2 linked regions of the Styela clava genome follow. The protein of the gene in region 2 purifies or fractionates together with the protein of the main gene of each other region. This does not show direct contact. Links are inferred from orthologs where the notes say so. Each region holds a gene or a part of one and is shown on either strand. Other genes may lie near its edges. The genes, in order: ubiquitin-protein ligase E3C-like and 26S proteasome complex subunit SEM1-like.

Region 1 (3,938 bases), on a different chromosome or scaffold from region 2:
ATAAACCTTGGCGTTGCGCGCTAACCAATAACAAAAGCTAGTATGATAAGGTCTTATTTTGAAGGTCATTTTATATGCTACATAACATAGGAGAGTGGACATCTCACAACGTCAGGAAGTTATAAAAATATCAAGTCGTTTGATCGCAGCTGCCTCACAGAAAAAAGTTAAGCGTTTTATCTCGCAAATTCTCCTTGTCTGACGATTATAAGCTTTTATGATTCATAATAAATGTTTTATTATGACTCACAAAAACTTTCAACGCGATAAAGCACAAACAAACAACCGATCGATCTATCAAGCTTAGCCTGGCCTGATTCGATGTGGTGACTTCTCAAACGGAAAATTTCCAAAACGCTTGAACAACGCGCGCTATGGAAAAGCGTTTAGTATCATATGAAAGAGAAAACCAATGTGCAGTCAACTGTATAGTCACATTTCAGCTTTACAATAGCTATAGACGTCCAACAGCTGATAGAATGAGAGAGTGTAAATATTTTTGTTATTTTTTGACGTTACGAGAGACCTCTTGAAAGAGGTGTTTTGGTTTACGGTCCTCCAGTGACATCTAGCGTATAGTACTCTAAAATACCTTTCCAATGGTATATAATTATTGTATATTGGGTAAATTTTGGGGGTCGTATGACATTAATAAAAATGGGTATTCAAAATTGGGCTCGATTGGGCGTCTGAAATAGGTTAATCCTGAATACAGATTTTTCAGGCTAAACTTAAATCCAAAAACTGCTGGCATTGTTTCAGATATAAACCAGAGTTTCTCAAACTTTTTGGGCTGCGAACCGCTATTTGTAAATCTTGGTTTTGACGGACACCCATCCTATGCCGTATCAATTTCTGTGTCTAACCAACGAGAAAGGATAATGTTTCATTTACAACACAACGACAATAATGTAATGCATTAGGTTGCTTTCACTTCACAATCTATCGATTCTCAAAGCAATTTGTGACAAGCAAACTCGCAGATCCAACTCTACGGCAAGTCTTGACCTGTATTTTGTCATCATATCGGAGCGAGCTGAAAATGCTGCCTCGCACATTTAGGTTGTTCAAAAGGCAATAAAATTATAATTGCTTTTGATGACAGCAATGGATACTTGTCCACAACGCTCATCCAAATAAATGCAATGGCTTTTGGATTAAAATCGATCATTAAAGATCAATGGGACTTCCTTCATATCATTGCGGACCCCCTGTGCAGTCATTGCGAAACCCAGTTTGGGAAACCCTGATATAGACGTTTTTCTTTGATAAAACGAGAATTATAAAATAAACAAACCTCTCGTTTTTGTCTTTCTTTTTGAGCTTTTTGCAGAAGTCTTTCCTTGTTCAATTTATCCTGAAAAATTCATCATTTGGTAAGTTAAAGTAAATAGATATAAAATTACCTCTGAGAAAACGGGTGAAAAATTCGGTAGAATCATTACCGGTAAGTATAAATAATTTCGGGGCATTGTGTGCAGAGCAATCTGCCAAAACCATACATTATATACAGAGAAGATTCGCATTCCTCTCGCACATAACTAACTATCCTTGCATGGGATTTGAACCCGTGCAGAATAATCAGAGGTGCAATGACGAGCGTATTCCTAACGCTTAGCACAATGAGCCGCACCGCCGCACTGACAGACTGAGCACTGTCTGACTGTAGAATTCAGAATTATTGCCGGTTTCTGTGGGAAGGTGGGCGAAGGTTTCTGTTCACCCTGAACAGGACACAAATAAAATTAATTATCAATTAGAATCCATTAAAATACCGTATAACAAGTACCGACAGCCGTCGCGCGCGTCGCACGCGGATTTTTTACGATCGATTTTTACATTGGTGTGTTAACGTTTTAGTAGATTTTACTGGATATACATCTGAGCATGGAACGGAAACATGCATTCGCACCTCCTACTAGGATTTTTCGGACTGTTTGTTTACATGCCGCATCACACGCACAGCGGATATTGAATTCACTTTTTTGTTTTTGAAAAGATTGCACACAACCTGATTACCAAGTGAAACGCCTGAGTAATGACTGCCGTCAATATTCATGTTTATTTGTTTGTGTTTGTGACTCGTTTCTTTCTTCTTTAATCTTTGGTAAGTGAACGCGTTTAATACGTTTTAAACCTATTTTATTAGGTTTTGTTCACTTTCCAGATTCTTCGCCTTAATCTTTGGTGTATATATGTTTATTTTGTTTTTGCGAATGAATCGAAATAAAATCTTATCTTATCTAACCACACGCCGTGCGGCTTCCTCCACCACCAAGTCCATGCTTCCGAAAACAAACAATATAACCAATCCCATACCGGTGGTACCGGTACCCGACTTGGATTATTATTATTATTAATACGGTACCGGTACGTACGGTACCGGTACAGTCAGACCGTACCGTACGGTACTCACCTCTTTGCTTTTACCACCTAAAGATACATTTGGCGTCGTTCGAAATTTTCCTTCAAAACTGTACATACTTCCTGCAGTCCTGTATTCACTGGCAATAAAGATTCCTGTTATTTTCCCATTTCAAAATGCCCAAAACATCTGGTGAATTCTGAAGCGTAGGACTTCCAGCAAGTTCCGCTTGTGGGTTTATTTGTGTCGGAATGCTTAGTCATTTACGTCATAGTGAATATTATGTCGATTCATATGACGACACCACTGGCGGTATTATAAAAACGTTTGTGACGACGAAATTAGTATTATGTCGTTCAGAAGTGAATTTAACGTGATTGGTTGATGTTTCACAGGTGGCCATTAGTCCACGCTTCTGCTATTATAAAGTTGGTTCATGTTTGGCAGCGTTGGAATATTTTTAAAGCTCCACGAAACCGTCTTATTTGCGTGAGATGTAGATAAATGAAACTTGGTAGCTGCGGTATTATGTTGAGAATTATATAGGTTTACGGTACGGAATGGAATACGGATACTCGGGAACTCGGGAGCATATTTAGAAGCCTCCTCTCGACTTTGACAAGTAGCCTAATTTATCCAGTTATTGCTTTTGGACGTGACTTCAACGAATTGGAGCTCAGTTTGGATCACTCGACTGAGCGCTTCATGGCCCAGTTTATTAACTCTATTATTGGCTAAGATTCCGTTGGGACTGTAACATCTGAAGATAATTTCTTCTGTCGCGGGATCGTTTGTTCACAGATACTGCTACAGTAAAAAATTGCGTACCCGTATTACTTCGTTGTGGCTTTCGTGTCTATAAATTATAGCAATTGTCTTGATTTATACAAATAAAGTAGGTGGAGAAAATAAAAATTTGAATCTCCCGGGTTTTGATAATTTTAGAGTGGAATTATCGTGGTTGTGAAAACGCCAAAAATAAAATGATTCGAGGGAGCGATAAATCCAGTTGAATTATTGCCACCGACATCATAGTACAGGCCTGGGCAAGTTGCGGCCCGCGGGCCACGTCCGGCCCGCGGCAACGTTTCATCCGGCCCGCGAGCAGGTTTCTAGATGTGGACATTTTCTTTTTAATTTCATATAAAGTATACTTTAACTGTGAACAAAATTTTGTTTAGGAAAATGAAAAAGTCGGCAATACCATTCGACAAATTTTTTTTTAAATGACCGATTGTTTTCGCCAGCTCGAGATGTTATTTAGAGTTTAGACCATAAACACCTTTACGTCGGTGATTATAATCACAAATTTCCTTCAACCTCCATATATATATATATATATGCCTTGCATACGGAACTGTGAAACCATTGAGAAAAACGAGTCATTATATAATAATGCTAAAGATAAAGAAGTGCATCTGCAAGCAACCTAAATCGGGATTTCAGAGCGGCAATATAAAATACTAAAAACTGGACACATACAAGATTGATGTAGAAGGCTTGCGACAGATTAAAAACGCTGTTGTAGAAATTGGAAACTGAAAAATTTCTGGTGCCCATGGCACAAAGTAAA
Region 2 (3,407 bases):
TAATAAATACAGTAAACAAAAATATTACAAAACATTTGTCAACATCAACTTTAAGAAATACAACTCCTTCATATTGATTTGATAATTCTTCAAATACTGGAGCAATAGCGTGACAGGGTCCACACCTTTAAAAATAAAAAAGATTATAATCGTTCTACAACATAACACTGCACACAACACTAATGAGGTTCTTATCACTTTATCTGTATGCCACTCGGAAAATATATTACATACATAAATGTTCTAACAACTAAATTTTATCAATTTGATAATATACCAGTAACTCAGACTTCAGAGACAAATTCGATAATTCAAAAATAAACGATTACATATTCAAATGTAATATCTACTATCTATATCTGAAAGACTTACCATGTAGCAAAAAAATCTATGACAACGAGGGATGAACCAGCATCGTTAAAACTGAGTTGAAATGCTGCGTCGTTATCTATATGTTGTACAGGCATTTTCTATCAATTTAGGTATTTGATTATTAAACAATTCGACTGGGAAAAACAAACAACGATTAGCTTTCACACATTTCTCAAAGGGTCAACATTTTATAACAAAACAGAGGACACTCTTTTTTATTAAACATAAATTAACCAACCAGAACATCTGCAGAATTTCATAGCTGATTATATCCAACAATTATTCTGGCAATGAGAATATTTTAGATCAATCTGATATCAAACAAAACCATGAAATGCAATATTTCATATGACGAAAATTGACTAAATAATAGTTACTTGTTCATTGAACATTGAGACAATCTACATTGAATCGAATGTTAACAGCATTCATCACACATTACTAGTGGAAAAAAGTAACATTATGAAGAGCATCTACGTCCAATTTGTAAATAAATGTCAGTCATCATTCAGAGTTACAATTCCCACCAGAATAACTCAAATTTCATATTATACAATGTGTAAATTGCAAGCCAAATGAAAGTCTAGATATAAAAATTGGTGATGTAGGTAGATTTACCTTTCAAATGTTATAGCATATCATATTTACTTTTCAGGCATGGTTTCAGTGCAGGGTACCACAAATAACTCATGATGAAAATAAAATTCAGACACAACTTCATTATAACAAACTTATCCACTGCAAAAAATCTTGTGGTGTACCTATAAATATTTATAGACAAAACACTCCTAACACTCGATTACGCCTAACTTAAATAAAAATTGAAAACAGAAGTTAATCCTTAAATTCAACAAAAAATATACACATGTGGACTTTGTATTGCATGTGTAAGTTCAGAAGGTGGTTTAATTACTGAATTATAAAACGAACAAATTGTCCAAATCAATACCAATAAAGAAAATTCCATTTCATCATCAAGTACCAATGTTAAGCAATATACATTGTATTGTTCAATATTTGCCGTTGATGATAAAATTATGACTTGACTTTCTGGCCGGATTTTTCTAAAATAGCTTTTAATTGTGATGAAAAGTCATCTTCTATATTATCATCATCCCAGTTTTCATCCCAAAATACTTTTGGTTCTTTGTCTTTCCCGGTCCATTCTTCCGCAGGAAATTCTTCAAATTCGTCATCATCTTCTAATGATCCTAGTTCAGTGACTGGCTTTTGTTCATCTTTCTTGTCTTTGTCAGCCATTTATCTCGAAGAATTGAATACTTTTTAAAGAATAAGTTTTATTACTATAATAGGATTTGATAAATCGATAGTAAAGGTTAGGTAAAAAGATGAAAAAGGGGCACACTACTGCACTAAGCATAGGTTTATACTAATATATATTCCTGTAAAACCTTTCATCTCATACGGTATTCAGTATATTTTGAACGATACTTACAGACTTAAGGTTTGTTTACCGGTACTCACCTGATTCTAATACTAATTAAAGAGTGGAAATAATTTTATACTTATACTACACTTATTATCCAATCCATTATCCAGTTTGTTACCGGTATGCAGGTATGATTATAAGATTTTTGAGTTGTTATTACAGTATTAAAATCACAAATTTACAAAAGTTACACAAGAAAAAAATAACAAAAAAATGAATATCGGTATTTCTCACTATTATTATTAAATTACGAGGCATTATAGGTAATCTTATCTTACAATATTCTTACAGTTTTCACGCGCCGTGCGGCTTTTATTTTTCATTTATTTTTTTTAATGAAAAATAACAAATAAAATAATATCAAAAAGAATTACCAACAGTATATTATTAATATGTTATACATGTTATTCAAATCTCCATTCTGCCTTATGATTTTCGAGCAACTTTCATCCCGGACATTCGCACATACATTGTGAACATGACATAGCATGAGTAAGCATAATAATACACGACACTCACTGAACTCTGCTGCCATATAGCGAATGTATAAAATATCGTAAATATTTCTTTATTTATTTATCAACAGAAACAAAAGAAAATCAGGTGATTGATATTTCGCCAACCCTTCTGCATTGCGTGCGTACCGTGTCCGTATCCCTTTCTTCATCTCCGAGTTCAGGCGTAGTATTGGTACAGGTATGGGTACCGTTCTTCTGTACTGGGAGGTTGCACGGCTTAATCTTCAGATTTTTTTTTTTCTATCATAAAGTTTAAAAGTGTACAATCTTCAGACTCATGAGTAATACTAATAGAGTGTCTGAGCAATTAGCGACATGTGTCATTGCGAGCAGCCAGGCATGTCATTACTAAGTTAGCCCTTTTTAATATTTGAACTCTAATGCATTTGTGCTTTGCTTTTGTTTGTTGGCATCTATTATTAAATTTGGCATATAAAATAACTGGTTGAAATTGAAGTAAGGTCTATAAAACAGCTTAATCTTGTTTTGAACTGTCGCCTCGTCTCACAGCCTCGTCAGAAATGAAAAAATTTACTATAACAAATACCGTAGATCAGCGGTTCCCAAACTATGGACCCACTGGTGGGTCGCAAGAAAAATCTCAGTGGGTAGTGAAAAGATGTAGAAAGCTTTGATTAATCATACTGGTTGGTTATTAGCAGTGTTCCCTCTAAGGTGTGCGCGTGCACACAGGACAGCTTTCAGAGGCTGCGCACACGCATAGATTTACTGCACACAGACGTATTTCGATGTAATGTAACAATGTTCTCGATTGGCAGGTTGAGAAAGTTTGTTGTTGGCCCACTTATTACCCGGTTAGAACACCAAAATTTCTTCATTGGTTTTTGCACAAATATTATTCATTTCCAAAAAAGTGCGCACACACCAAAATTTCTGCGCACACATACTACAAAAAATTAGAGGGAACATTGGTTATTAGGATCGGTGACAAAGCAAATTTTGGAATAAACTGCAACTTTTTAATTTTCACGTCTAAAACTATCTGAAATCGAAATAAATATCAAGTCTATTATGGAAAATAGCAAAAAACAAGCTCATCTTTCTCA

What was found.
Region 1: the proteins of 26S proteasome complex subunit SEM1-like (region 2) and ubiquitin-protein ligase E3C-like purify together in Homo sapiens (affinity purification with western blotting; 3 studies listed by BioGRID and IntAct, with this or other methods). This does not show direct contact. The link is inferred for Styela clava from reciprocal best matches to the Homo sapiens genes SEM1 and UBE3C.

Annotation. Positions count from the first base shown.
Region 1 is NC_135250.1:32,498,005-32,501,942, reverse strand, and holds the start of ubiquitin-protein ligase E3C-like, read right to left. Parts: upstream 2,723-3,938; 5' UTR 2,483-2,722; coding exon 2,417-2,482; intron 1,358-2,416; coding exon 1,298-1,357; intron 1-1,297. UniProt on the Homo sapiens protein: E3 ubiquitin-protein ligase that specifically catalyzes 'Lys-29'- and 'Lys-48'-linked polyubiquitin chains.
Region 2 is NC_135260.1:14,916,822-14,920,228, forward strand, and holds 26S proteasome complex subunit SEM1-like, read right to left. Parts: upstream 1,757-3,407; 5' UTR 1,633-1,756; coding exon 1,408-1,632; 3' UTR 507-1,407; downstream 1-506. Other genes in the region: thioredoxin-like protein 1, read right to left, coding at 29-125, 373-467. UniProt on the Homo sapiens protein: Component of the 26S proteasome, a multiprotein complex involved in the ATP-dependent degradation of ubiquitinated proteins.